Linked DNA regions of Kluyveromyces lactis. The protein of the gene in region 4 purifies or fractionates together with the protein of the main gene of each other region. This does not show direct contact. Links are inferred from orthologs where the notes say so. Each region holds a gene or a part of one and is shown on either strand. Other genes may lie near its edges. The genes, in order: MRPS5, MRP51, MRP2, RSM22, MRPS16, RSM18 and RSM26.

Region 1 (4,359 bases), on a different chromosome or scaffold from region 4:
AAAAGGAGGTCAGGAGGACTGTTAAAGGATTTGATAGCAATTGTGTTCTCCCAAGTCTCATCCTAAAAATCTGACACCGTGAATTGCTACCCGACACACTATATGATAGTTTATGGGTACAGTAGAATTTACAATTTTGACCAATCAACCAAACTACGATCCCAGATCAATCATGAGTATGCTTTCGCATTGATAAAATTTAAACAGCGAAGAGCAGACAGCTTTGTTCAACGTCTGTTTGTCATTACAAAAAGTATATTCGCAACAAGTACTTCTCAAATCCGGCAGATAACACTGAAAAAAATACCTAGATAATAATATTCGGGTAACAATGAAAGTTTAAAGTGACGGAGAAGAGGAATGTGTAACGTTCTGGAATCGGAACGGTCATTTCTGGTATCTGTCGAGCATTTTATTTTTCATGCGAGGAAGAAGATCTGGCTAGAACCATTACTTCTTGTCAGAGAACGAAAACGCTGCATTAGAGAAAATATTAAGAGAATGCTACTGCACGTATTGGCAGGAAAAATAAGAGGAAAAGAAAACTTGCAAGGCCAGGTGGTTTCCTTTCTTACCATATGTATATCACTGCTGGGTAGCGTTAGTAAATGCATTAGTTTGTCAATCTACCTGCGGCATGGAATTTTCACATGACGCACAAGTAAATCACTATTGATGTCGCATTGCCACTAGGGATTGGTTCCAGAAAACATAACTTCTTCCGAATTGATTTCAGATTCTACCTCCATCCATGTGAACGAGTATTTCGTTCCAATATTTTTATATAAATTAACGAGTAACTTATATGGTAATCTTGTCAGATAAGTGGAGTTGATTTCATTTGGAAAGAGAACCAACAGGATTGGTATGTCTCATATGAATTTATTCTCGGACCAAAATTGAGAAAGAAAACATCTGCAGTTTTTCAAAAATTCAGGCATTTTGGGATTACTCTCTCTTCATGCAGGGCAAGACACCAGATCATCTTTATTCTATTGGTCTTCATGTTCCTGCATAACTAAATACTATTTGTATTTAGTTCATTATTTCCTGTAGATAAAGAATCTTTCTAAATGGGTTTTAAAACATAGTAAAATATATACCTAAAAGAAGAGTCTTCGTGATATGAATGTTTCATCTTTAAGGTACTGAAAGGATATGGTACTAATATTGATTCTAATGACAACAAAGCCCGTGTATAACATTGCCAGCTGAAACATGTTGCTCCACTATGTATCAGAAGAATATGTAGTGTTTTGAAAAAAGATCTTCTCTGGAAATTGTATATAGCGATACTAAACCACTAATATAGATGTTTTAGTGACCGGCTTTATTAAAGCAGGTAAGTCGTTGTTTAAGCGACAGAGCTCAATATTGGATGAAACAGACTCAGAAATGAAACAAAAAAACATGTTACCCGGATAGCATTCCATATGATAGTGTCATCTACCATGTAAGGGTAAAGATGCGTGGAACATACCTGAAACATACTCCATGTATCCTCCTTTGAACGTCTGAAGAAGATTTTAAAGATGTGCAACCACTGCTAATCTTACCATACCTTAGTGGGTGGATCTTCAGCTAAGAATTGTGAATTTCTAATCACATGATCAAGAATAATGCTCTCTCATTTGTAACGATTGATCGATTTTCAAAAATTAAAAAAATTTCAATAGTTAATACAGAATGGCAACATACTCAGACATATACACCAGAATAAGGTCTAATATAATTGACACCAGAAGTCTTTTGAAGCAGGTTTAGACAGGTCGAGGAGCAAAATTCAACATAGTGAGTTGCAGCGTCTTTCTCAATAACCCTGATCGTATTTGAGAATGTTCGTCCGTTGTTTCTCGAGCACTGCTCGTGTATTTCAACAAGACCTGTTGAAGAAATACTACTCTCCAGAACTACTCAAGTCTATTTCCTTAGCTGATAAAGTAATTCCTGACAATGTAGAGTTCAAACCACAGACAAATGTTGAATTCTCACCACCATATTTGGATAACTTTGCCACATTACATCCTTATTGGGATTATAAACCAAACTCTCCACATCTACATTCAAGCTCATCTTCGGTATTCGTTCAAGAGATGGAAAAGCATCCAGATTTGACTCCTCCTGTGGGTTCATACTTACAAACTGAAGGCAGATCAGATATACAAAACATTGCCAATAATATCCAACTACAGACGGGGTTCGATGCTCAACATATCGCCAGAAAACTAGTGATGAAACCATTGATCTTAAAGATGGTTTCTAATCAAACTGCAAAAGGTAAAATTCCATCCTTCTATTCTCTTGTGGTTGTTGGTGATAAGAATGGTATGGTAGGAATCGGTGAGGGTAAATCCCGTGAAGATATGGCAGAATCCATCAAGAAAGCTCATTGGGATGCAGTGAGGAACTTAAAAGAAGTGCCTAGATTTGAAAAAAGAACTATTTTTGAAGACATAGACTATAGATACCACGGTGTGAAACTATTCTTGAGAGCTGCTAAGCCAGGTTTCGGTCTAAGAGTCAATCACGTAATTTATGAAATTTGTGAATGTGCTGGTATCAAAGATTTAAGTGCAAAAGTTTACAAGAGTAGAAATATCATGAACATAGCCAAGGGTACTATAGACGCTATCACCAAGTCTCAAAAATCTATAGATGAAATTGCTCTAGGTAGAGGTAAGAAAATTGTGGATGTCAAGAAGGTATATTACTCTGCTTGATTTCAACCAACTCCATATTTAAATTACTTTCACTTTTTCTCCTATGAAGAAACTATCTGAACAACCTTCACATGATTCAATTACGACCTAGATGATCATTCTCATAAAACAATCAATACTCAGATCTACGTAACCTTGTACATATTAATATCCCCACAACGTCGGAGTTCCAAATTCTTCTTCACGTGACTTTTAGAATATTTCACACTTTTCTGATCTTTAAAAGATTGGAAAATGAAGATGATGAAAGCAGATGAGTAGTATATCTAATCGCGTATAAACATGATTAGAAAAGCTTTAACTTCTTTGCTGTTACTAATTGTTCAAACGCATTTCAATTCTTAGCGGAAGCTACTAGTATCACACAATTAGCAAAGCATATGTTTCGCTTCATTGTGGCTAGGCCATTCACTGTACCAAAGGTAAGGCCGGTAAGACGACTTTATAGCACGGTCAGGACATCGACTGTTGACTGGAAACCTATCAAAACAAAGAAGACACCTACTGAAGGATTTCAAAAGAAGGAATCACGATGGGGTAAGCGTATTTTTCTAGGACTGATGATTGCCATGCCCGTGATCTCGTTCTACTTAGGAACCTGGCAATTAAGAAGATTGAAATGGAAAACCAATCTAATTGCTTCCTGCGAAGACAAATTAACCTACGATCCTATTCCGTTACCTAAAACGTTTACACCGGATATGTGCGAAGACTGGGAATACCGCAAGTGTACTATGACCGGTAGATTCTTGCATGATGAAGAGATTTTTGTCGGCCCCCGTGTTAGAGGAGGGATCAAGGGGTACGTTTTATATACGCCTTTCATCAGAAAGGATACGGGAGAAAGAATTTTGATTGAACGTGGTTGGATCTCGGAGGAGAAAATCGTTCCATCATCTCGTAACTTGCAACATTTGTCTTTACCTCAAGGCGATAACGTGACAATTACAGTGTTAGTGCGTGCAGCTAAAGATTTGACATCAATGCAATGGAAGAAGGAAGACAGGGAGAGTAGATTGTGGCAAGTCTTGGATATTAAGGATATGACAGAGATGACACATACTTCTCCTATTCATTACCAAGCTCTTTACGATCTGAAAGATCACCATTGGGATGAAGAATCAAAATCTGAGGGTATCGATAACAAAAACCAATCATCTTGGAAATTCTGGTCTAAAAAGAAAACCGAAACAGAACCACAACAAGAAGAATCCGAGAAACCACACGTCAACACGAAGAAAGTAAATACAGCAGATTCGGAGACAGGATTGGAATTTAACGAGTTCCAATTCGTTAAAGCGGGAGTGCCTATTGGTAAAGCACCAAAGATTGATTTGAAGAATAATCATTTACAATATTTAATTACTTGGTATGGGTTATCTCTGCTTTCATCTATCTTCCTTATCATTGCACTAAGACGTGGTCGTGGTTCCGCTATGTCACAGGATGAAATAAAGAGGCAAAAGCTAAAACATGCCAAGAAGTTCATGTGATAAAGAAACACATATTGATATTCTCAGGAATTTCTATCTCGATCCCATCATTTCCTTCAATTTTCTAGTATTCGAGATACTCAAATTCCAATAAATTATATTCAAGCAGTTAATTACTAAACACATAGTAGTATCAACCTTGTTTG
Region 2 (4,319 bases), on a different chromosome or scaffold from region 4:
GGGTGAATTTCTTTGGTGCAAGGTGTTATGCGGACGCTGATTGCATTTTCAACTGTTTGAAAGTGCTTATGATCCTTGGGTTCATAATTTTAGGTATTTTCGTTAACACTGGTGTTGTCGGCACTAGCGGATATTTGGGTTTCAAATATTTCCATAGTCCAGGGTTCTTTAGAAACGATGAGGGGCTTTTCAAGTCAATTGCTGCAACGTTGATAACTGCCTGCTTTAGTACCGGTGGTACCGAGTTTGTCGCCTTGAGTTGTGCTGAACAGAATACAGAAGACATGCCAAGAAGTATTAAAAGGGCGTCAATACAAGTTGTTGTACGAATTGCCATCATTTTTTGCGTTTCTTTGATGATTATTGGATTATTAGTGCCCTTTAATTCCCCATATTTGATGGGGTCTGGATCAGAACTGACCCATGCATCTCCATATGTGGTCGCATTAACAACCAATGGTGTTAGGATAATACCTCATATTGTTAATGCAATTATTCTATTGTCTATTATTTCTGTCGCAAACAATGCGATGTATAGTAGCTCAAGAACATTACATTCCTTAGCTGAACAAGGATTTGCGATGAAATATTTTTGTAAATTGGATGAAAGTGGTAAGCCGTTTAGATGTCTTTGCGTTTCAGCATTTACTGGTTTATTTTCATTCATAGCCGAATATAAGGACCAGGAAACAGTCTTCGTTTGGTTATTGTCAATCAGCGGTCTTTCCACTATCTTTACTTGGAGTATGACCTGTGTGTCTCATTTGAGATTCAGAAAGGCAATGAAAGATCAAGATCAAGCTTTAGACCAATTAGGATATCAATCACCATGTGGTGTATATGGCAGTTACATCTCGTTGTTTATTTGTGCCATTATTTTGATAGTACAATTTTGGGTATCATTGTTTCCTTTAGAATCCAACGGTAGGCTGAATGTCGTCTCATTCCTTCAAAATTATATGGCTGTTCCAATTACCATCGTACTTTACCTTGGTCATAAAGCTTACACAGGGAACTGGAAACCTTTTATTAGAGCACCTGAGATTGACATTCAGACCGATCGTGACATCTACTGTGTTGATGAGGTTACTGGAAAAAAATCAGTTTTTGTTGAGCTTCTGGATAGCGGAGACATGTGCTCGAAACTATCTGATAACCTTGTCAAGTAGTACAAACATTTCTACGAAACTGAGGTTCTCATACAGTATCGACTAAACCAAGGAACTGTTGATATGAAATTATTACGAAAAAATGAATAGTTTTCTGTAGTAAACAATATAATAAATAATGCAATTGAAAAAAAAATTTAAACTCAACACCGATTTCTGATTATGGGAAACCCCTCATAGAAGACTTATGTTATACTGGTGCTGATCTCGTTTTAAATATTAGCATCACTTAAGAAACCATTCTTCCTTTAAAATGAGTACTAAATGTGACACTTTCATCAATGGTCTGTCGCAAGTCCGGGTAAAATGTTACGTTTCTAATGATAAAAAAATTTCGATATCATTGAATAGCATTCAATTCGATAAATCTTAAACACAGCTCAGCTACTGATTTTGACTGAAGAGCTAAATTAGTTCCTATCGTCGACTATTGTGACAAGGTTCCAAAACTATCAGCAATTCGTTGAATAGATAATTCACTTTTTGGGTTTAAACTGGGCTGTTAGTCCTTAGCTTGAAGACAGATATACTTACTGAATTCACAATTCGAAATAGAAAGCTATGTCCCATATATCTAATTTGTTAAAAAATTCCAGGATAGCACAAGTGGCAAAGACGGACAAGCCATTGTTTCGTCCAGGTAACTCTTCTCATCCAACTCATCAAGTGATTGAGACCAAGCCATCCTCCTTATATCGTCAGGAATGGGGTTTGAAGGCAAGCATTCCATCGAAAATCAAGACCAGATATTTGGTTTACAACGATTTGGACACCCAACAAAGACTAACGACTTTTGAACCAATGGGTCAATACCAGTGGAACAGAATCAGATTCCAAGAAATGGGGTTAGCCCCTCGTTACGTTGAAGAAGAATCCAATCCTCTATTCAATGGGAAAACCAAGAGGGCCGGAAAATACGCGCCATTCAGCAATGCTGTGAACATTGCTCATAACACTGCGCCTTCTGAAAAGACAAGAAAGTTGAAAGAAATTGACCAACACAGATCAGAATTCAAGAAGTGGCTGTTAGAGAAACACCCGGATTCCATTGCTGGTGTTAGAAATGAAAACACCAGACCTTTGAAGGCTTTAGCTACTGAATTCTTACATGAAAAGATGGGAAAGTTGAATATTAATACAGCAGCTAACTCGGAGTGGCACATTGTGGGCACCGGTGGTCTAACTTACAACTTGAAAGGTAGACTTAGACAATCTCCAAATGGTGTAAAACAAAAGCACGTTGTGCCAGGCAGAGTTTTATCTGTCCAGGGACCTGATCGCGCAGTCGCTGTTGGTGGTTTCATCGCTGAAGCTAAATCTGTGGGCCGTAATCCTCGTGCTCTACAATACAACATGGGTGATTTTGTCAGACAAGAAGTTTTACCATTTGCCATTGAAGATCCAAAGGTAGAAGGGGGTAATGTAACATTGTCTGCATCTTTAGTAGAACCAAGAAATGACTTCAGTTTTGCTCAGAAGATCGGCTTAGGTCAAAGCAGATCACATTATACCAGATCCGATTCCAGAAACTCTTCAAGAAAAACTGTAAGATCTGTCACCGCCGAAGAATCTAGATCTCAAAGTGAAGAGTTCCTAAACTTATTAAAGACAACCATGTAAGTTGATATATGGTAGGTATTACACAACCATAGCTAGAAGTCACTTGTAAATAAAACGTAATAAATACAGTCATGTTACGCGGAAGACGGAGCTGTGCGTCAAGCGGTTAAGGGCCGTGCTCGTAACTTAAATGGAACAAAATGGATGAATATATATTTGATGTAAACTTAAAATGAATGTCGCGCATATGCAATGAGAGTCCACTCCTTTCTTGAAAAGGAATTTTACATTAGAACACCCTTAGTAGAAGGAACGTCGTTGGTTCCGTTGCTTGAAATAGCCTCTTTGATTGCAATGGCAAGTGCTTTGAATGCAGATTCACTTCTGTGATGGTCGTTAAAGCCTCTCAAACAATCAACGTGCAAAGTTATTCTCGCGGCTTCAGCAAAGGACTCCAAGAAATGAGGTATCATCTCGCATGAAAGGTCACCGATCTTTTCCCTCTTCAACCCCAACTCTATTACTGCGTATGGTCTATTGGATAGATCCACAACAGCACGTGATAAAGCTTCGTCTAATGGTGCATATCCTGAACCAAATCTTTTCACACCACGAACATGACCCAAAGCTTCCTTAAAGGCTTGGCCAAGAGCAATACCACAATCCTCGGTGGTATGATGGTCATCGATATGCAAATCTCCAATACATTCAACAATCAAAGACCAGCCTGAATGCTTCGCAAGAGCATGAATCATGTGATCTAAAAACCCAACGCCTGTCTGAATATCAATGATTTGGGATCCAGTTACCTGCTTAGCAGCATCGGATTCCTCCCTTTGTAAAATAGAGTTCTCAATAGAAATTGGTCCACCATTCAATGAAATGGCAATTTGAATCTTGGTTTCATTCGTTATTCTAGAAACAAAAGCTTTTCTTTCCGGATAAGTCATTTTTGGTTGACAGTTCTTTCTCGAGGAATTCTTACAAAATGTGCCAAATATGAACGATGGTAGCAACTTTTAGGCTTCTTATAAGTACACAAACTAATGTTGAGGCCAGTTACTTTCTTTCTTCTTCCAATATACCTTTACGCTTCTGTCAATCTACTACGATAAAGAAATGAATCATCTTCTGGAATATTTTACAAATAAAGAAAAGCTTGAAACTTGACTTTCTGAAATTTTTCAGATTAAGCTATTTGATAACAAAAAATTGCCGAGATGAGATGAGCTGAGAGGCATGGAATAAAAGATACATTATCTGTTAACAAGAGCATAGCAGACTCAAATAAAGTAAAACCATTGGTAGTATAGCATGCTCAGAAACATCACAAGAAGTTATTCGAACAAGATTCGTTCTGCGGTCAAAGTGCCTAACGAATCGTATATTAAGGACAGAAAAGTAACGTTCGATCGGAACTTTCCAGTGCATAAGAGGACTAAGGCTTGGGAGAAAGATGGAATGGATAAAGATAAATGGTTCAGGAAAAATTACGCACATGTTCATGCAAGAGAAAAAAATGCAAGGCTGAATAACGGAGGAAGTGACCCATTCGATAAGAAGAAAAAGTATTACGATCGGATCAAACAA
Region 3 (3,633 bases), on a different chromosome or scaffold from region 4:
AATAACGTACCTTACAATGAATTGCTAGATCTAGGATACCGGTCGATTGGTGATTATCACTCTACACAACCTGTTCAAGAAGGTGAGGATGAGAGATCAGGCAGGTGGAAGGGTAAGGCAAAGACGGAATGTGGGATTCACGAGACAAGCAGATTTGCACAATATCTCAAACAAAGAGAATGATATGTGTTTGATATATATATATATATATATATCTTTTCTGTTGTATACTGTGCATGCGGCATCTCTTATCTAGCTTTATTTATGGTTTCAGTTTAGATACACAACGTGACATTTTTAGTCACTTAATGTACATATTATATATGTTGCGACTAAGGTGGAAAGTGTATGAACAGTTGCGAACCTTACCCATGCAACTTGGAAGAGAAACCCCCAGCTTGAATCTCTCATCAATTCTCATGACTGTCAAAGCCTAAAGTTTTTGGGCTGATTCACACTATGATAACCGGGAAAAAATGAATCAAAGGTTCTGAAAACATGCGTCCGGACAGATACGAAAAGCAACATAAACCAAAGAGAGAAACTTATATAACTCTGTATGATAGGAGTCAAGTAGCTCATTATTCCAGGATGATTAACATATTGAATCATAGAACATAGCTGACACTAACAAGCAAGGATGTCGTTGTCTAAATTACCTTTCGTAAAGCACAAGAAGAGTTTACCAGATGATGAGCTCATCAAGGTCTTATTTGTAAACCCTAATTCAACCCAAGCAATGACCGATGCCTGTTTAAAGATATTGGCTGGTCATGTAGCTCCAGACACTGTGGTTTACGGGTACACTGCACCATTTGGTAAGGCACCCAATGTGATTGAGGGTCATCTCGATGGTATTCAATCTGCAATTGCCGTTATGGAAGATGCTTACGATGTAATAAACCAAGTCGATTGTGTACTTGTTGGATGTTTTAGCGACCATCCATTGATAAAATCTATCAGGGAAGAATTTGATGATGTTGTGTGCATGGGTATCGTGGAAGCAGCCGTGTACTCATCCAGGATCATTGGATCAAAATTCGGTATTCTTGCATCAATTTACAAGGCTCAGTTAAGAGATGAGGAAACCATAGCAGGTCTTGGCATGTCCACATTTTGCGTTGGATTGTTAAGTTCTGGTATCAAAACCGTATCGGATTTGGTCAAAGTGGAAGAAGCTGAGCTTCATAAAACAATGTCTAAAACTGCCTTGACCTTAGTAGAAGAATATCACGCAGACACCATCATCTTGGGCTGTGCAGGGATGAGCGACTTGAAAAATGCTGTTGCAAACGCTTTACAGCAGAATGGCTATGAAGTGCCAATTATTGACGGAGTGGTATGCGGGATCAACATTGTTTCGGCTGTCTACAGAAGTGGATTACACGGTACATCCAAACAAGGAGCTTATTCAAGTGCTAGAAAGGCAAGAGAACTAAGAGGTGATACAGTTGAAATCAAGAAGTCATGATACTGGGAGTCCATTGGCATGGTGCTGTGTTCATTCCATTCCTTATATAACGTGTATAGTGCCAATATAGTCAGGTGACCTCCATCAAGAACGTTTAACATGATATGAACTTCAAGCTTTGAAAGAGAAAAAAACGAGTTTGGAGCTTCTCCGGAAGATGAAGAATAAAGTTCAAGCATTAGTGGATGCATTCTTTGGTTTTCGGCGTATTCAGTATCTGTGAGACTAATTTCGATAGTTATCCTAGCAATTAGTATATCCAAAGGAAGGCTGTAGATATAAACAACATGGGTGGTTTCAGATTTCCAATCAAGACAAAGCTTCCTTCAACGTATTTGAATGCTAGAGTTATCAGAGACAATTTCAAGAGACAGCAAGTTGCAGACAATGAAGTCACTGTAAAGGCATTGAAATTCATTGCTAGAAATACTACTCTACCTCCAAGGTCGAGAATGGAAGCTCAGTTACAACTTTCTGTGATGCCTAACTATACAAGAATGACACAAATCAAGAACAGATGTATTGAAACGGGACACTCCAGATCTGTTCTGAGTGATTTCAGATTGTGTAGATCGCAATTCAGAGAACTTGCCAGGAAAGGTGATCTACCTGGTGTGAAGAAGGGTGTATGGTAGATGCAGTTTAGCATCTTTTGTTCCCTGATACTGAGGTTAGTAAAAGTTGGAATCTTTCTCTCCCGCATGCATGTAAATATTTTTAATTAACTCAACATATATAAAGCTTGTGTATAGACATTAAAAAATACAAGGTTTAATCAATGTAAAAGAAGCGCTTGGGTTGTGGCAAAGCAAGTGACATTTATAAGATGAGAAAGTGCAGTATAGTGGTGATAATATTTAAGTTTCTTACAAAATAAAAGAGTGTAGGTATATAAAAATAATTTATAGGTAGAAACACACAAAACAGAAGAGAGGTAGAAGAGAAAATGTCAGGGAGGGATGGTCACTTGAAACCAGATGGAAACAAAGAAAAGAACGAGGAGAAAAAATTAGGAAATTCAACGGAAATTAATTGCTGACATTTGTATATTAAAAATTGATCAATTAGAAACAAATGAATATGGTTTGTTCGTCTTCCCTCTTCTTTTTTTTTGGATCTTTACTTCTGCCAATTAACGGTTGTAAACAATTCCCATCGCCTAATAATAATATCCTCAAAGCTCAGTCCTCTGTTTCAAGGTAAATTCAAATGAAGTTGGAGATAAGGGGGTGAAGAGTGGGTTTGGGGCGTGCGTGTCTTTATTTACAAGACGACACACTTCTTTTTTTTGCTAGACTTAGTCTTAGGTTTGCTCTTACCTTGTTTACCGACCAAAGAAGCTCTTGTAGCAGCCTCGAAGACTTCTCTGACACCGTAACCGGTCTTGGCAGAACATTCGATGTAGTCAACAGCACCGATTTGGTCAGCGACTTCTTGTGCTTGAGCCTGAGACACAGGTTGTAATCCTTGAGCTCTTAGTTCTTCAACAACTTGAGGATCATTTCTCAAATCTGCTTTACAACCAACCAAGATGATTGGAACACCTTGACAAAAGTGTAAAACTTCAGAGATCCATTTTTCCATCACGTTTTCTAAGGAATCTGGCAAATCAATTGAGTAACAGATTAACACAACGTTGGAATCTGGGTACGAAAGTGGTCTCAATCTATCATAATCTTCTTGGCCAGCAGTATCCCACAACGCCAATTCTACGCGACGACCGTCAACTTCGACATCAGCAACGTAATTATCGAAAACAGTGGGCACGTAAACCTGAGGGAACTTACCCTTGGCGAAAACAATCAATAAACAAGTCTTACCACACGCACCATCACCGACAATAACTAGCTTTCTTCTAATGCTGGCAACATTACCAACAGCTTGAGACATTATGGAAAGGGTTAAAACAAATCAAATCACTACTTTTTTTTATTGTATTATAAAATCAAAGCTGTTCGAAAACTCTTGAGTAATTCTGTTTTATGACACTTAGAAGGAATCTATATTTCTTACTCAATAACTTGCTTTAGAAACTCTATCCTTGATTGATTCTTCACTAGTTAAAATAGGAAAATAAAAACAACCCGAAATAAAAATCAAACCTCTTAGAAAACTAACGATAAGCTCTGTCTTTGACCTATGATTTAGTACCGTCCGTATAC
Region 4 (5,450 bases):
TATTGTAAGTACTGAGTGACAGCTGATATTCTCGTGCTAGTTATCAACAGATAGATATTGAAGTGCAGTTATGTTAGATCTGATGTAGCGGTTTCATTCTCTAAGTTAAAAAAAAGTGGTTAAAAATAAAGCACTCACGGTGGGGGTCGAACCCACAATCTTCTGATTAGAAGTCAGACGCGTTGCCATTACGCCACGCGAGCAACTGTTATGACAACAAGAAGTTAGAACAGTACCAGACTCCTCCTCTCGTATCATTTACTCCACCTTTATTTATGTCGTTGGAAAATTGAATGGATACCGTGTGAGAACTTCGCGCTCACCTTGTAGTGTTAAAAGTTTCTGACTTCGAGATCAACATTGCATCTTTACCACTGAATGAAGTGAATGGCAACAATATCATACTGTAATAGGATCATTTGCTCTTATTTTGAACTTTAATATCTGCAGCTATGAAGACCTTTTCTATTATTTTAGCACTCTTTATCTATTATTGTGTTTGGTTACTGTTACCTATATTTGATCTTGATCAAAAAGTGTCACTTTTCCCATTATCTAGCCAATATGCAGTTGGAATCCCTATATTACTGTTACTACTTGGAACTTCAATCGTTGGAACCTCAGTTGCTGTAATGTTATGGAATGATTGCAGTGATGTACCGAAGACAAGAGACAAACCAACGCATACCAATACTTAACCTTTAACTTCAAATTCAATGACCAAACAACAAGGCTGAAAAGGATATGACAAATCGCAATCGTTCACAGTTCATTACATGGCTTTATTAAATGTGCTATATATGAATATGGGAAAAAAATTCCTGAAAGGCAACAAGGCAGATCGCCTAATTCATTGCACGTTCATCAATCCAGCATTCCCACTTATCAATATCATTTTTCAAAACGCTTCCCTCCTTAGCATCTACATTCCCATCAATTCTATCGAATTCGAATCCGGCTGAGTTTTGTTGAAGAACAGCAACCTCATCGTCATCATCGTCATTAGCATCGTCACTCAAGGACTTTTTCGAGTTTGCCTTCAAACTTTTGGCCTTTCTCTTCATGATTTCAGTTATTTCCTTCTCCAAAGCACCCTTGATCTTTGATGGAGGTCTTGCCACGAATGACTCAGATTTATTGCATGCCAACAAGATGTCAACTCCGTCTGGTCTTAATTCGGTGACAGATAATATTTCATACAATAGTTCTGCAGTACTGACCAATTCCTTAGGATTAATAGTAGAATCAATCACATAAATGAGCCCTTTCAATTGACTCGAATCCTTGATGGTTTGGAGCAGCTCAGAACGGAACTTGTCATGTCCTGGGAAATCGATCAATTTAAACTTGAAATTCTTATGACTAGTTGGTAACATGTAGTCTTCAGCCACATTGGGTTCTTGTGACATCACCGATGGTTTGACCGAGTCTGTGGTTAACAAATTGAACAATGCAGTCTTCCCCGTTTGCGGCAAGCCTGCAATGATGAAAGTGGGCGCTCTATTGGTGTATTTAGAAGCACCAGGAATCACGTTGGCACTCGTCTTTTGTACGATCAGCACAAATGCTGCACTGATCATAACAATAATGCATGCTAGTAAAATTGGTGTCGACAACATTGCCGATATATATTACGGTTTCGATGTTCAAGCCCCTAGAAACAGTCTTCAGATGCAACAGAAACTCACAGAACTAGCAACCCTAACTGAAATCACCGGGTCTCTATATGTCCATGTTGACTTTAAACTGTTTAACAAATTTATCAGGCTGAAAAGTTAAAAGAAAAAAAAAAAGATTTGAAAACCATTCTGTAAATTTGTATGAGAAATCAGTTGGAGATGCGATGAGATGGCGACGTTCAGTGGATAGAGAAACATAGATAGACTGACACCAGCCCAGACAAGAAGCTACCAATATGTTACGTTGCAGTCGAACGCTTAGCCCTCGAATATTCACTCGTATTCCTGTGTCAAGGTACTCTTCACTGGCCGATTTCCCGATTAACGTTAATGATTTAGATGCATCTACAAGAGATAATGCGCCAACCAGTTTTGGTTCTGTTGTTGATGACTCTCAGAAAGATAACGCAATAGTTATAGAGAGAGATCATTTGCTTTCGGATAAGGTTAAAGGAGATTACAGAGATCAAAATGGGAATCATTTACAAGGTGAAAATGCAGAGGAGGCAAGACTTCTACCCAAAACTCTTGAAGGACGGGTATTGAGAGATCAGATCCAATTGCCGTCTGTGATGAGTCAAGCAATCCAGAACAACATAATGTCTCTACATATACCTGGTAATCTAAGAAGAGCCGCATCCAAATATTTCGTGGAGTTATACGAAAGCTCCCTTCATCGACCTACATCATCGAACATCGAAGTGGATTCTCATATCGCATCAATCTTTGTGCAGAATTATGCTGCCATATATCAATCTTTATCAGAACTTAAGAAAAGGGTAGGGGAGAGTTTCAATCCTCAAAGAGTATTAGATGTTGGTTATGGGCCAGCCACTGGTATTGTTGCTTTGAACGATTTAATGGGAAAAGAGTACAGACCCAGAGTGAAAGAAGCCACTATCATAGGTCATATTGAGATGCAAAAGAGGGCAAAAATAATTTTGAGTAGACAATTGAATGAAATTCCAGACGACATGTTATACGGGGAAGAAGAGCCCACTGAGAATGTCGAAACGAAAGAAGAAGAAGCTGACAATATCGAAGGAGATGACGAGATGTTGGGAGAAGTAGCTACGAAGAGTATTCATATTAACACGAGGTTGCGTAAAGATGTTCCTGGTTCCAACGAATACGATTTGATCATCCTAACTCATCAGCTCTTAAGACACCAGGAAAGATTCCCAGCCCAAATCGATGACAACTTGGATCATTATTTGAAGCTTCTTTCCCCGAACGGACATCTAGTTATAGTAGAAAGGGGCAATCCAATGGGTTTTGAGATTATTGCAAGGGCAAGACAGTTCATGATCAGACCTGAAAAATATCCTGAAGAACACGGGAAGATTCCAAGACCCTGGAATAGAGGTAATAAGATGATGGGCAGAACCAGTTATCGTTCAGTGCCTGTTGAGAACGAAGAGCCCACACTTGAATCCTTAAACATAAATGATGACGAATATAAACAGTTAATGGAAAACTTGGATGCCAAATATGGAGAAATAAACAAACAAGATTTAGAATTCGAACCAGAACTTCTTGAAGCCATTGAAAAGGAAGATTCCAAAAGAGGAACATCTAGTGATGAAGAAAGTTATTTCATCAAGATCGTTGCACCTTGTTCACACCATAGAAAATGTCCATTACAGATAGGGAAACCTCATTATTACGATTTAGATGAAGGTTCGAAATTGAATTTCTGTAATTTCCAAAAGACTGTACTAAGGCCAAGATTTACTATTGAATTAAAGAAGGGCAAAGTGCTTGCTGCACCATGGCAAACTCCAACTGATGGTATCGGTATCAAGGGGAAATCTGCACCAGGCTCAGGTAGAAGAAATGGTAAGAGTTTTGAGATTATAAACTATTCATATTTGATTGCCCAAAGATCTTCAAAAGATCGAGCCACGACTGAAGCAATAAATCGTGAAAGAGAAGAAAATAAGATTAAGTACGATATTGGCTCATTGGGAGATGAAACTGCCAATACGTGGCCTAGAATCGTTAAACAACCTACTAAGAGAAAAGGACATGTGATTCTCGATCTCTGCGCACCATCTGGTAAATTTGAGAAGTGGATTGTCCCAAAATCCTTAGACAAACAGATATATCACGATGCTAGAAAGACTCAAAAGGGAGATTTGTGGACATTAGATGCAAAGACGAAACTAGCAGGCGGAGGTGCCTTAAATGTAAATAAATTTGAGAAACTGCATAAGGAAAAGATCAAGAAGATGAAGAGAGCTGTGAAATCAAAATCACGTGAATTGAAAGACATGGCAAATCAATTAGACAATGAAAGAGAACATATGGATCCCGAATCAGCTGTTGATACGTTAGCTAAATTCCATGAGCACAATTTCCAGTTATCGAATGCAAAGAAGGAGAAGAAATATGCCAACCGGAAATTGGCAGTGGATGAGTATTAAATCTTCCAGCGGAGGGTTAACAAATCAATTTCTTGTAAATAACTAATAACTACATCCCATTATAAAAGAAAGACACTGGGTCAATTATATTTATTTATTTATTTTAATTCAAATATGAATTTTACTTTAGCTTTAAAGGGAAGACATAACGTTCTAGTATATTACTATGTGGTTACATCCAAATACATATACCATACTACACCAGCATCACATTGTCAATGACATGCCAAATAAAACAGGCGCCACGGACCATAAAGAGCAGTGTAAAGAAGAGAAGTCAACTCGTAACTGTACAACAGAATGAATACGTTTTATGTTAAAATTATTGGTGTGCTATAGAAAGTGATTAATCTATTTTCTTCTGAAAGAAGTACCTTCAGACAACTTGGCCTTACCACCGGTTGGGGTACACAAGACGGTAGAGCATGATTCACAAGTGACAGCGGTTTGAGCGTGAGAGAACACAGTAGTGATGTTCAAACAACCTGGGCACTTGACATCCAAGAAGTGAGATCTTGGGGATTGAACCAAAGTCTTTAACTTGTGCTTTCTAGCTTCAGAAGCAGCGGTTGGGTGCAACAAATCTTGAACTAAAACCTGTTAAAAGAAGATATACGATAGACATAGAATGCCATCATGAATGTGTTATTGTTAGTAAAAAATTATTCCATATTGAAAATACGGGCAGTCAACAAATTGACATGGACAACCCATATATTTGTGCATCACATATCGCCCAATAAAAAGAAATGAGAAGGCGAATAGTATTTTCATTATATTTTTACTGATGGAGAACACACAGTTTCATCTCATCCAAAATGCGTTTCCTTCGTATAATATCTCAGAAATCCACTGTACTGACAGCCCGAACAACGTCTCTGGTCGTATTTCTTCTTCTTTTCCTGTACAGTCCCATACAACCTCTGTCTCCGTCTGTCTTTCATCTTATCTCCTTGAGCAAGGAAACATTCATATTTCAACATGAGGCCATATCCAGCATCCTTCATAACATTATTTCATATTACAGACGAGTTCAGGACTCTTCTTTGGTTTATTATCTCTTTCTCTCCTTCTCTAAACTGAGTTTCTCTATTATTAATATTCCCATTATTCCTCTTATTCTATCTCTAATTTATCTGCTAACCTCTCTATTCCTTATTCTCAAACGATATATTCACTGTAGATCCTAACCACATACCATCTTGGGACTTTTGCTTGTACTTGGTGAGCTTCTCTAATGAATAGTAAAATGTATAAGCTAACCCATAAAAGTGTATTAAAAAACTTTAAGAACTAATATGCTCTTCATCAAAAGTATCAAATCTATTTCAAAATTTACACTATC
Region 5 (3,824 bases), on a different chromosome or scaffold from region 4:
ATCCTAGTACAGCATCTACACCAATAGCTTCTATAGCCCCACCGATAACGTTTTCTGCCTCGGATCTCAAGTCCAAGAAGTTTTGTTCATCTGTTCTCCAACTGCCTACAATCTCTAGAGGTTTGATAAAATCTGGATTGGCTCTATATTTCAACTTTTTGAAAGTAGCCGTCAAAACATTTAACACTGCCTTAGCACAATGTGTGTATTTAATAGATAATAGATCCACAAATATCTCAGACAACTCTTGAATAACTTCATCAACTGCTTCAAAGTGCTCAGCGGAAACGGAAGGTGGATACAACAAAATTTCTGATTTGATTGCGTCAGTGACAATAGCGATTAAACATTGTGCTGCGCTAAAGTAGATATCTGGAATCTCACTTGATAGGTAAAATGATAAAGTTCTGAAAACTTCAGGAATCTTAACAAAACACTTTAATGGATCGTGAATCGCATATGTGCTGATACCTTTAGCGACGACTGCAATCCAGGCTGCTGCCAAATGTGTATCATTTTGGGATGGTTTTAATGAAAAAATGACATCAAGGGCTTTCATGAATTTATTCTCCGCTAAGCCAGATGAGACTGAAGACTCGGCCATAGACTGGAATAGAACCTCAAAACAGTTAAAAGAATTAGATACCAAAAATTGGTCCGAGGTTTTACAAACTTCCAATAGCAGATCACAGAGTTTTTCCACATGCGCAGTTGGCCATTGATTTGTTGATATTATATTGCTCAAAAGTTTCAAAATATGAATGATTTTGGAGTTCAATTCACTTGCACCTCCCATTGCTCTTAGCTTCTTATTGGAAATCGTTGCAGATTCATCAAGGATGGATACCAATGCATTAATAGCGAATGCTGAGATCAAAGGTGATGCGACGTGTTCTGCTGTTGGACCAGGTGGAGGGTTTTTTAGAATGTTGGTAATTGCATCCTGTGCTCTCTTCCTTACTTTTGGTCTTGGATCTAGAGATAGCTCAAGTAGACCATCCAAACCTCTTGTTGGAGTCACCTTTAAATTTTGAGTGTTATTCCACGTTTGCGTATCCTGGGCAATTAACAAAGCTTCTAAACAACCAAGAGCGGATTTGATCAAAGGAGCGTTAGCCTTTTCATCAGTAATACATGGGGCAACTTTAATCAAAATATCAGCAAACCTGCTCTTTAATATTTTCTTTGGTGTATAATGAAAAATGATGTCCAACAAATACATCGTTGATGTTGCTAATTGTAGATCTTTAATGGCCGCAGTTTCTGTATCGATAGTTTGATCCAGCAAGGACATCAAAGAAATAAGATAATTCACGATGTTCTTATTAATTGCCTCTTGCTCATTAATATTTTCTTCAATAGCAGCCAAGATTATGGCAATGTGCTTCTGATTCTCTAGTTTTGATGTAGATTGTCCTCTGATTTTAGCAAGCTTATCTTCAAGTTCAAGAAGCTTGGACGCTTGTTCAGGACCCATATTGCACAATTTGTTCGCTTGTCAGTTTTCAATCCCAAGTTAAACTCAGTAATTCTCTTTTCTGAGGTGTTGTTGATTATAACTCGTCTCTACTTGTTAGATGAGATGAGCGATGAGATGAGCTAGATTGAAAATTTTATACAGCTTGTGAAAAATTTCTTTTTAAGCCCTTAGTGATGAAGCAGCAAGGATCGTGAGGCAATGAAGAAAGCAGAGAATAAAAAGTAAATAAATTTTGGTTAATATATGCCAACTCTGTATATATGCGTCTGCTAAACGGGTTCAAGAACATACTATTTCATTATTTGTGTCGTTAACTTTCTTTACTGAATGCGATGTTATTTGTAATGCCAAGTCGTTTTATATGACTGCATTTTTGGTAAACTAATTCCCACCGTCAGTCTAACTCCAGTAAATAAACACTTTCTCACTTATAGATACTTTCTCATAGATCAACTTCCTATACTATTAGGCTGTAATGTCGCCATAAACGCCTAAGACGAATGTTGCTCATACGGCTGTTAGATATCCCACCTATATCACGTGATAGACATGCTTTATTTAGTTGGTGTTGAAAATCCTTCGAAAGATAGAAAAAAAAATTCAATCAACATTAAAAGCGTAATAACAGGACAAACATATTATGTATCAAGACGACCAGAGCGAGTAAACCAAGTCTCTTAAACCAGAATTTAACGCCAAGTTTGGTGAAATACAATAATCATGACGAAAGGTTTGGTGAGGATAAGACTAGCTAGATTCGGAAGGAAACATACCCCAGTATACAACATAGTTGTTACCAACAAACATAAGGCGTTGAATAGGAAACCAATTGAAGTATTAGGAACATACAACCCAATCCCAAAACCATTAACGAAGAAAGAGGTTAAACAAGGTGTTGTTCCTACTAAAGATGTGGAATTAGACTTCGGAAGAGCTAAATACTGGATCGGTGTTGGTGCTCAACCTAGTGATACGGTAACAAGACTATTGAGAAAAGCTGGAATCCTGGATGAAAATTGGGGAAAGACCTACACAAGTAGTAGGGTTGTTATTGAACCTAGGAAAGAAGTCTTTGAAGAATAGACCAGCTGTTCCGATTACTGTATTAAAAGCGGTATATCAATAATCAGGGCATAAATCACCATCTCCCAAGGCTTTCTTACGGTCAAGAACTCATGTATATAGGCTTAAATTGATAAGAGGAATTCGGGCACTTTTTCCGGTCATAAACCAATGTAGTAGTTACATACACTTAACAGCTTGGCCCCATGCGGTAAAATTGAAGTGATTAAATTTACATATCACCATATATAAGATGCTATCAGGTAATTCTACACAATAATAATAATCGTCATCAGCATATATTTCCCTGAATGAGGGAAGTATCATCGAGGAATACTGACTGTTAAACTATGTGATTTCCGAAAATTCATAAATATTAACAAAATTACAAGAACAAAAAGATGGTTTATGTTATGTTTTTGTGAATGAGTGAGTGAATGTCTAACTTCTCAAGTATTTAATAGGTATGTTTGGTGTAATGTTCAGGTTTGTATTGGAGATTAGTGCTCATGATGTTACATCGAGTCAAATTGTGTTCCAGTGCAACTATAAATTGGATTCATTTTCTATATGTGTGGGTAATCTATTGTTTCGTTCATCAGGCTGTTGACCAGCAGCAGCAGTATTTGTAGCATTTGAAGTTGAGTTCAAAAGAGTATTTACGCTTGCGGTTGATTGTGCTAGGAAAGATGATTGGGATGGGATAGAATTTGTTGGAGTAAGAAAGAAATGAGCATTACTAGAGGATCTTGACCTTGTTAGATTGGGAAGAGCAGGTGGCTGTACACCACTAATAGTATTTGACAATTGTGGGTGTATCTTGAACGAGTTACTTCTTGATCTACTAGCGGCTGTAATGAAACTATTGTTTCGTGACCTGACAAGAGCTTTTGGATTCTGAGGAGGAACTTGCGTAGTGCCTTGTGATAGTTGTAACGGTTGTTGCAACTGCTGCGACGATGGTCTAGATTCGAATGGCGAGTTCAAACCAGTGTAATAGTTCGTAGTAAAGGAAGAAGGTGGAGAATTTGTACTTTCGGCAGAATGACAATTGAAATAATCCTGTGGACTTTGCTGTAGCATATTGTTAGACATTCCTTCGTTTCCGAACTGAGGAACAGGAGGTAGTGATATGATAGAACTGTTTCTTGAAAGATAGTTTTCTTTCCGCACCTCTTTCAACAACCGCTGTCTCACTAAAGTCAACAACCACGAATTTCTCTCCAGACCGATATCAACTTGATCAGCATCAGCTGTTTCCACTGCTACTTTAGATACCCGG
Region 6 (3,976 bases), about 620 kb from region 4:
CCGAAAGATTATAGAATAAATTAAGAGTCATCGCTGCAACAAAGAACAAAATACGAACCAAAGAAAAGTTGTCAAGTACAAAATCAAAAGGTCAAGATACAACCAGTGTGACAGAACTCTGTGTTTAGGTCTTCTTTTTCACAATTGAAAATAAAACAGAGGACGAAATCGATACTTTACCTGATATTTGTAGCGAACTATGACGGTTTGCGGCATTCTAAGGAAGCAGGCAAGTATAACGGCTAGGAACAGATGCCGGTTCTTTTCAGTACATCGGTCCCCATTATTCAATACACATATTAAAAATGATGAAAAGACTGTATCTTCCCATAACCGCCTTCATCGTAGGAATAATCATCGAAAACGGAGCAAAGAAATGACCGAGTTGAATTTCCAAGAACTCTATCATATTCGATCAAATATCCAGCATTTGATCCAAGATTATTCTTCGTATGAGATTCCAAAGATCGATTGGGCATTTCTTCTGCAATATCGTGGCCCGCTTCAGGATAATGAGAAGTATTTCCTCACGATTAAGACGTTGAACCTGTTATTGACGTTGACATGCCATAGATTGGCATCTCTACAAGAATTACCTTATATCGCTTTAGTGAACCCAAATATTGAACAATCTAATCGGCTTTATTTAAAAACTTTAGAATCACTTCTAAGCATTGAGTATCCATACGATCTGTATGACACAGATAAAATTCAAAATCTTACAGAGGAATTCTTGAATGATCACCAGGATACGTTACTTACGTTATCAAATGGGTTGCAGGAAGTGAGCCGTTTTTATGATCCAGAAAACATATTCAAGTTTTTGAATAAGCATTTACATGACAGAATATTGATGAAGTTGTTGACTACCAACTATTTGAAGCTCTTGGAACAGACTTCTTCCGATGAGGTCATTGGCGTCATCCATAAAGATTTGCATATATCTGACTTAGTTACAAGAACGAACGAATTTGTTAACGATTTGACATTTATCAAATACGATAAGACCGTTCCAGTGAAAATTATGGAAGGGTCTGATGTGAAATTTTCATATATACCTACGGATCTAGAATACGTCCTTCAAGAATTGCTTAAGAACAGCTCGAGAGCACATATTGAAAACAACGTTGACAAAGATGTGGAAGTAACAATAGTGAAAAACGACGATCAACTTGAGATCAGAATCAGAGACTTCGGAGGCGGTATAGATCCACAGGTAGAAGACCGAGTCTTTGATTATTCTTTTTCCACAACGGTGAAGGAAGAGAAGGACAGCGGTATGAGCGATTATGTTTTACCTGGTCAAGAAGTCCAAAACGTTGCAGGTATGGGATTCGGACTTCCAATGTGCAAAGCGTACCTAGAGTTGTTCAATGGTACACTTGACATTCAGTCATTGTGGGGATGGGGTACTGATGTTTATATACGATTGCACGGTCCATCGGATAGACTATTCGACAAATGAGAACACTGTACTATCATTCAGTCCCGGAGCTTTCCATTGCAACGTGTTTATACTGTTAGCGCTATTTACAGATATAATCCTATTTATTGAGAAACATATATTCATATATACAAGAAGTTATCACATGTCATGATTAGCTTCTGTTTGCAGTTCTTTGAGGAAGCACCGATATGTCTTTGTGAACCTTAGACATCAAACCTATTGCTTGGCATCTCTTAATAGCCTTTGTTAGACGACGCTGGTTCTTAGCCGATAAACCAGTTACATCTCTGTGTAATATTTTACCCGTTGATGTCACAAATCTTGACAAGAACTCTGGGTTGGTGTATAAATCAAGTGGATTGATCTTCAATTTGTTGAATGGGTCAAACGATCCAGGACGTACCCCAAACTTCTTATCTAAATGTATTCTTTCTAAGGAGAAATCAAATGGATTGTAAACGGAGCCCGGCTGAAAGTTTTTGATTAACTTGGATTCTAGCTTCTTGATTGTGGGCTTGCTATTAGCTTCCGACATACCTTCTTTCAGAAGTTTTTGGTCAAGACTGTTGCAGACATATCTTGTGGTAGAAAAGAATCTTGCGCAGCTGCGGGAAAACATTTCTTCTGATGTGTTTTAATTTATTCAATCTCTCGTTAACAGGCGTAGAAAGGCCCGAGCGACTTGGTTGTTTTCCTTCTCTTGCTTGCTTAATATTCATGTTATTGAATAAAATTTTCCATGTTGAAAAGATCTCTAAATTTCAAAAAAAAAGAGATTGAAATAAAGGATACTTAAGTCATTGCCAGGCATTCAACCTTTTTCCTGTTGTCAACCCAGTTTACGCAGATCAACCTTGGAGGTGTAGCGCGATTGATCGGAAAGCTCTTGCAGGAAGTCGGGCATCCCTGTGGATCAAACCCGGCGCGCTCCAGCACCTACAGGCCGATGCAATCGGCCTCCTATTCTTTGACCTGGCCAAAACTGATGATCCGTTTGCTGGGTACCGGCGACGGTACCGCTGAGCGCTGCTATGCCGGCAGTCAGGTTGGTTATAGCCAGCAAAATGGAGCCGAGTGCCTACCCAGGTCAGCGGTGCGTTGCGCTTGGTCACGTGTGAGATTTCGTGTGCCAGCATCGAGGCTAGCTGGCTTTCATTGTCGGTAACCTGCAGCAGTAATGGATCTTTGATCAGCGGCGCGCTGGCGCGCTGCTGCCGCACGTAGAAATCGCCCATAGCCAGCCGTGGGCCACAATCAAACGTTTACCCCAGCTTTTCGGCAGGGTCTTGATTCTTGGCTGGATCTGATGGGAATAATGAATCAGTAAATAACTGCGATTCTGAACTAATTCGAGGATTTTATCAATATTGGTGTGATTTCCAATGTAACATCAATTCATCTATTATCAGTCAGTGTTCTATCCGCTCTGGTGGTTATTCAGGTTAAGTAGGTTAACATATAAACGTAACAACAAATTAAAAAGCTGGAAAATATTACTACTTTTCCAGCTTTCAATCCATTAATCGTTAAATACAAAACTTTCTTCAGCTAGATTGTGGTCTTTTCTATAACTCTCGTCCAATATTAAATAATCATCTGGTTGTTTAGAGCTTACTCCTTTCAACCAAAACTGTTCACCGTAAGCTATCAGCATTGCCCAATGATACTCAAGTTCATGGCTACGAAGACATACTGCCAGATAACTATCAATGGGCTTACATACTAATGAAGACGATAAAACCATTAATTCAGCCTCATCTTCTTTTTTATTTGCATACTTAACGATAATTGCTTTAAGCATTTCTACCCAAGTATGGAAATTAAAAACAACTGTTTCTTCAGGATCATCTTCGTCTTTAAAAACAACTCCATCAACAATTTTATCCTTATTAATCATTATCGACAACCTCTAACTTTAAATCTATCAAACAGCGCAGCTGCTTTCTTTCTACAAATAGCAAGTTGTGTCTCTTTAGATCTAGGAATGGCGAGGGGGGGTTAATAATTCTATTAATTGTATCAATTCTAATAATGATTATATTTATAGTTATTTATACTCATATTATACTTCCGCGTCTCATTAATGTAATATTAATGAGGCGCGATTTGATTTTGATGAAATTAATTAAAAAAATAGAGAACTAAAATCAAGGCACAGACAAAGATAAGTACACGCAGAACCGCATCTATCTGGTGGACGTGAGCCAGGCAAATAATAAACTTATCGAGGTTTAAAGGAAGATTGGTATTGCCTATAATCTTAATAAAAAAAGAAGTTACAATTCAGAATCAAAATTTAATACAGTTTGTTAATATTCAGAAGTGCCTTAATTAAGTTAACGAATTATGTTTAGTAAACTATCATTGAATAACATAACTGATTCAATCAGTAATGCCGCACAGCGTACTCAGGAACAATTTTCCTCTGCCATTGAAAAGATCCACTTGGATGATCCTGAAACACGTTTGTCCATTTTGAAGCGTAGACACCAACTACAAGAAACTTTGGGAACAGTGCATGATATCAGT
Region 7 (4,273 bases), about 910 kb from region 4:
AAAGAAAAACAAAAGATTAGCGATAAGCGGCTTTTAGCAGTCACAGAGTTGATTATCCATCGCCAGGTGCCTATTTCCTACTAGGAATTTTATTTAACAGAATGTACTAAACCTAACATTCCCGGCCAGTGAATATTATGATGGTTATTGCAAATACGAAAAAATAAGAACTCCTCATAGGGGGCTCGAACCCCTGACATTTCGGTTCCTTGCGAGCAATGCTTAAAAGCCGAACGCTCTACCAACTGAGCTAACAAGGACGAGTTCTCAAGTTCCTCAGAGTTTTGGAAGTATTTTATACTTGATGTTGAAGTTTTAGTTGAATACCGTTTTCCGTACCTTATCCGCTCTTGCCTATATCAACCAGAGATACGCTAATAATGAGAGAGGATTGTGAGCTATTCGCAAACGGTTATATTGCATTTGTGACTATGTACATGTAATTAAGACCCATATTTTAAAGAGAGCCAACAGTCTATTTATGATTGGAAGTACTGGTATACTCCTATTGTGTGGAGAACAATCTGTTGTTAACCGCAGACCAGTTCAAGTTATCTAAACACTTCCTTACGTAAGTGGATCTGCCCTTAATACCGTAATCATTCAAGTATGAATGGTCCCACAAACTGATCGCAATCAAAGGCATTGTCCAATCTTTAACGTCTGCATTTGCGGCAAGTAGATCTCTCATCGTTACAAACTGTTCCATTTCTTCTAAGGATAGAGCACTGTTCAAATCGAAAGATTGGTTTCTAGCAAAGTAGTATGGAGTACCATTATTTTGAACTGTTAGGATGTGAAGTTCCTTGGCATCATTTTCCACAAGGAATAGCCATCCTTGACCTAACACATCTTCTTCTGCATGTCTAACCATTTCATCCTTAAAAGCATCCCAAGTCATTGAATATTGTGATTCTAGCTTCTGTAGAAACTCACGAGATGGATGTGTAACTTGTTCCATAGGCAATATGTTTTCTATGAACAAATGGTTATTGTGCAAAGCACTAGCCAAATTGAAAATGTTTGTTTGGTATGATTTCTTCGCAGTGTGCAGTACTAAATGGAATGGCAAGTAGGATTCTGCGGCAGTTCCTGCAGATGCCAGTGTTAGCTTATCGCACAAAAGCTGCTGCTGGTCAACCCAGCAAGTTTTGAATGTGTTAGCGCTCATAACATGAGGGATGCCTGAATCCAAAAGTTGTGAAATACCAGGTATCTTTGGAACTGTGTGTATTCCTCTGAACAGTTGACGCCCAAACATTGACATTAAATATTTTTAGTTAGTTGCCTCAATTATATCAATCGTTCCGAAACTCTAGGAAGAATGTAAATAGGATGCATTGAGCAAGAAATAGTAGACTTTCTAGTTATGCATTTTAGATTCATGAATTGATACAAGTCGAAATGATTTCAATTTTTCCTGTTCGGCAATGTTGAATGCTAAGAAAAATTTTAAGATTTGAAATGTTACCCGGAACTCATTATCTTCTCTAGCTTAATGAACTAGACTAATAATCAATAAAGTCCAAATAAGATACACCCGTAGGATATAATCCGACAAGAGGTAGACAAGGAGATTCGTGGGAAGAACCTTCGAGTTTTTAATTTCAATTCTTTCAATGATTAAATTCAAGTATTATTACTCCCTCTTATCTTTTCTTATTTTATATTTTTGAATAACATAATCACAGCAAAAACCTGGTAAATAAAACAAACATTATTGAGCTGAGTTGTCTACGGACTTGATGACATTTTTTAGTTACACCTAAAGGTGAATTATGCGGATTTAAAAGGCTAGTTATACATAGTCTTGAAAGGCTTGAAGAACCAGGAGAAACTGTGGACGCGTTTGGTGATTAGTTGATAGCATTCTAATGTCATTTGGTGTACCTTTGTCTCAACTGATACAAGCGCGTGCAGATCATGTACGAAGTGGCATTGAGAGTTTAGACGATTCATTGAATGACGGATTCCAACCACAGAGTATCTACGAGGTTTACGGACCTCCAGGAATTGGCAAGACAAAGTTCGCGGTACAATTAGTGAACAATAATCAGAATAGGATGAAATGTCTGTGGATTGACACGTTCCAGCAAGTACCACTGAAGCTTATAGAGCAAGGAGATGAGGACGAAGTCCATTTCAAAGGGTGCCAATTCGCAAGAGTGAAGAAATTTGCTCAACTGTGGTACATGTTTCAGAATTTAAAAGAGACGTACGGGCTCATAATAATCGATGGTTTATCTCAGCTTTTGGTAGAGTATCTCCATATGTACGAGAAGAACAGTGGATATTCTAACCATCGACAGACCTTGCACGATTTCAAGGTGAAAAGTTTGATACAATTGCTTGTCACCATAACTAAATACGCCACTTCAAACAATACGGTGGTGGTATTACTTAATGACGCTATGAACACAGGTTACCAGGACTATTCAGACGATGCAGTTGTCTCATACAACGATCCCAGCAACGGAACCCACTCAGATGGTTCCTTTAGCAATTTCCTCGTGAAATCTCAACGGAAACGTCACGTGCAAGTGTTGAAGAGTGGATTAGTAGCAAATGCAGCCGTTGGAAGTAAAGATGCCCGTTGGGAGGTGTTTCTTCGATGCAGGATCGGTGTGTTCTGGAATTGGGATGCAGAACAAAAGCAGAATCCTAACTCCCAGAAAAGAATCATCCCCGAGGTATCACGGCAGTTTGTTGTACAACATCAACAGCCAGTGGGCTCGAAGAATAAACTGGTTTGGGTTAAGACTAATGAATCTGGGAACTTTTATAGCTGTCACACAACTATAGTCGCAGAAAACCCAACAACTGCTGTCACTGACAATCTTCTTCCTACGAACACTTCCTCAAGTGCGACAGCTGCTGCTGCTGCAGTAGCCGCAGCACCGGTGCTTCCCCCAAACAAGAGAAGACGGGTTTTATACACGGAGCCAAGTCCGAGCCGTATGCTATTAGATGTTCAAAGTCACAGTCAGCCCGTAACACCAAACTCTTCGCAATCAATCCAGTTTACACCACGAATCGTTCATTCAGACAACATTGTGGCAACTCATGGAACTGAAGGCACTGACAACGACGCTATCATATATGATAGTGAAGGATAGAACGGAACACATTACAAACAGGAAGCCGACCTAATTTTGTCACTTTTAAGTGAATAAAATATGCAACTAAGAATTGCGCCCTTCCTCCTTAGATACGGTCACGAGTGGTGCCCAATATATCTCACATTCGTCATCGGACGCTTTTCCAGGAATCTCCACGGAAACCAAAAGAGAGATCATGGAAATTACTAATGATGTGGTGTATGGGTGCATGTGTCTTTTTTTTCCATTTTCTCCTTCGAGAGATCCCCAAAGGGCATCAAAATAGATCTGACGTGATCTATGCCAACTTTAGTAATCGACATGGGACGGTTTTCATTGGCCGGTTTTAAGAGCTCTTGAACCTTGAATCCACTAACTTTTCTATTATTGGAATTCAAATAGGAAAAATTTGTTTGTTTTGCTTTTATTGTTACTGCTAGGTTTACAGATATGAATTTAACAAGCTAATCTTGTTTTTTACATGTTTCAGCCGTTCCAACCTGTCATAAAGTGTCAATGAAGGTTCTGAGGTGGAGCAATCTGTGATCGGCCCACTTAGCTCCATTGTATAAGCAACATATGTCCTTGTAGGTGTTGTTTGTAAAATAGCCGGCTTCCATTTTAATATGGCCAAACCGAATGCGGGTATGGAATTACGCAGAAACAGGAAGAAATGACTGGATAATTAGATTTTGCTTATTGTTTGGGAAGAGCCATTTGAGGGATGACGGCTTCTATTTTGAGGGTTTCTGCTGTATCTGCGTACAACTCCATTTTTTGTTTACTATTCTCGATTTTACTTAATTGGACTAAAGTGGATATTTGTTGTGACAAAGATTGTTTCTATTATTGTCATGTTCATCTTTTTTTTTTGGTATGACAGTGCTGCAATGGAGAGGGAAAAAATTGCGTAGATCTTGTGACTAAAATAAATTGCCAGGTGAAGAAAGCAAGGGGATAAGAATAGCGATATGAGTGGGCCGACTGAAAAGTATATAAGGCATTGGTTTGTTTCAAGAGTTTTAGAATAATATATCCCTTCTTCCACTTTTTTTTCCTGTTGAATAATCTGTATTGTTATAGCTGTAACATCAGGATTCACTATTGTATCTTCTAGATAAGCAAGAAAACTTACTATCGCTAACACATCGCGTTCATCAATAAAGAAATACTGC

The links.
Region 1: the proteins of RSM22 (region 4) and MRPS5 purify together in Saccharomyces cerevisiae (affinity purification with mass spectrometry; 7 studies listed by BioGRID, with this or other methods). This does not show direct contact. The link is inferred for Kluyveromyces lactis from reciprocal best matches to the Saccharomyces cerevisiae genes RSM22 and MRPS5.
Region 2: the proteins of RSM22 (region 4) and MRP51 purify together in Saccharomyces cerevisiae (affinity purification with mass spectrometry; 3 studies listed by BioGRID, with this or other methods). This does not show direct contact. The link is inferred for Kluyveromyces lactis from reciprocal best matches to the Saccharomyces cerevisiae genes RSM22 and MRP51.
Region 3: the proteins of RSM22 (region 4) and MRP2 purify together in Saccharomyces cerevisiae (affinity purification with mass spectrometry; 3 studies listed by BioGRID, with this or other methods). This does not show direct contact. The link is inferred for Kluyveromyces lactis from reciprocal best matches to the Saccharomyces cerevisiae genes RSM22 and MRP2.
Region 5: the proteins of RSM22 (region 4) and MRPS16 purify together in Saccharomyces cerevisiae (affinity purification with mass spectrometry; 3 studies listed by BioGRID). This does not show direct contact. The link is inferred for Kluyveromyces lactis from reciprocal best matches to the Saccharomyces cerevisiae genes RSM22 and MRPS16.
Region 6: the proteins of RSM22 (region 4) and RSM18 purify together in Saccharomyces cerevisiae (affinity purification with mass spectrometry; 3 studies listed by BioGRID, with this or other methods). This does not show direct contact. The link is inferred for Kluyveromyces lactis from reciprocal best matches to the Saccharomyces cerevisiae genes RSM22 and RSM18.
Region 7: the proteins of RSM22 (region 4) and RSM26 purify together in Saccharomyces cerevisiae (affinity purification with mass spectrometry; 3 studies listed by BioGRID, with this or other methods). This does not show direct contact. The link is inferred for Kluyveromyces lactis from reciprocal best matches to the Saccharomyces cerevisiae genes RSM22 and RSM26.

Annotation. Positions count from the first base shown.
Region 1 is NC_006038.1:1,001,169-1,005,527, reverse strand, and holds MRPS5 (mitochondrial 37S ribosomal protein uS5m), read left to right. Parts: upstream 1-1,835; coding exon 1,836-2,720; downstream 2,721-4,359. Other genes in the region: cytochrome oxidase assembly protein SHY1, read left to right, coding at 3,101-4,213. UniProt on the Saccharomyces cerevisiae protein: Component of the mitochondrial ribosome (mitoribosome), a dedicated translation machinery responsible for the synthesis of mitochondrial genome-encoded proteins, including at least some of the essential transmembrane subunits of the mitochondrial respiratory chain.
Region 2 is NC_006042.1:87,622-91,940, reverse strand, and holds MRP51 (mitochondrial 37S ribosomal protein bS1m), read left to right. Parts: upstream 1-1,730; coding exon 1,731-2,789; downstream 2,790-4,319. Other genes in the region: KLLA0_F01012g (uncharacterized protein), read left to right, coding at 1-1,169; imidazoleglycerol-phosphate dehydratase HIS3, read right to left, coding at 3,014-3,679; MRM1 (Mrm1p), read left to right, coding at 4,044-4,319. UniProt on the Saccharomyces cerevisiae protein: Component of the mitochondrial ribosome (mitoribosome), a dedicated translation machinery responsible for the synthesis of mitochondrial genome-encoded proteins, including at least some of the essential transmembrane subunits of the mitochondrial respiratory chain.
Region 3 is NC_006038.1:936,225-939,857, reverse strand, and holds MRP2 (mitochondrial 37S ribosomal protein uS14m), read left to right. Parts: upstream 1-1,758; coding exon 1,759-2,106; downstream 2,107-3,633. Other genes in the region: MET16 (phosphoadenylyl-sulfate reductase (thioredoxin)), read left to right, coding at 1-183; DCG1 (Dcg1p), read left to right, coding at 641-1,471; Rho family GTPase RHO1, read right to left, coding at 2,735-3,361. UniProt on the Saccharomyces cerevisiae protein: Component of the mitochondrial ribosome (mitoribosome), a dedicated translation machinery responsible for the synthesis of mitochondrial genome-encoded proteins, including at least some of the essential transmembrane subunits of the mitochondrial respiratory chain.
Region 4 is NC_006041.1:1,030,530-1,035,979, reverse strand, and holds RSM22 (tRNA methyltransferase RSM22), read left to right. Parts: upstream 1-1,915; coding exon 1,916-4,105; downstream 4,106-5,450. Other genes in the region: KLLA0_E11727g (uncharacterized protein), read left to right, coding at 453-698; SRP102 (Signal recognition particle receptor subunit beta), read right to left, coding at 846-1,619; KLLA0_E11661g (40S ribosomal protein eS27), read right to left, coding at 4,457-4,702, 5,304-5,306. UniProt on the Saccharomyces cerevisiae protein: Mitochondrial ribosome (mitoribosome) assembly factor. Binds at the interface of the head and body domains of the mitochondrial small ribosomal subunit (mt-SSU), occluding the mRNA channel and preventing compaction of the head domain towards the body.
Region 5 is NC_006042.1:2,518,435-2,522,258, reverse strand, and holds MRPS16 (mitochondrial 37S ribosomal protein bS16m), read left to right. Parts: upstream 1-2,200; coding exon 2,201-2,563; downstream 2,564-3,824. Other genes in the region: mRNA-binding protein RRP12, read right to left, coding at 1-1,477; CIP1 (Cip1p), read right to left, coding at 3,089-3,824. UniProt on the Saccharomyces cerevisiae protein: Component of the mitochondrial ribosome (mitoribosome), a dedicated translation machinery responsible for the synthesis of mitochondrial genome-encoded proteins, including at least some of the essential transmembrane subunits of the mitochondrial respiratory chain.
Region 6 is NC_006041.1:408,216-412,191, forward strand, and holds RSM18 (mitochondrial 37S ribosomal protein bS18m), read right to left. Parts: upstream 2,067-3,976; coding exon 1,599-2,066; downstream 1-1,598. Other genes in the region: protein kinase PKP1, read left to right, coding at 200-1,465; KLLA0_E04577g (uncharacterized protein), read right to left, coding at 2,296-2,682; KLLA0_E04599g (uncharacterized protein), read right to left, coding at 2,967-3,344; KLLA0_E04621g (uncharacterized protein), read left to right, coding at 3,794-3,976. UniProt on the Saccharomyces cerevisiae protein: Component of the mitochondrial ribosome (mitoribosome), a dedicated translation machinery responsible for the synthesis of mitochondrial genome-encoded proteins, including at least some of the essential transmembrane subunits of the mitochondrial respiratory chain.
Region 7 is NC_006041.1:116,806-121,078, reverse strand, and holds RSM26 (mitochondrial 37S ribosomal protein mS42), read right to left. Parts: upstream 1,268-4,273; coding exon 506-1,267; downstream 1-505. Other genes in the region: putative DNA-dependent ATPase RAD55, read left to right, coding at 1,875-3,116. UniProt on the Saccharomyces cerevisiae protein: Component of the mitochondrial ribosome (mitoribosome), a dedicated translation machinery responsible for the synthesis of mitochondrial genome-encoded proteins, including at least some of the essential transmembrane subunits of the mitochondrial respiratory chain.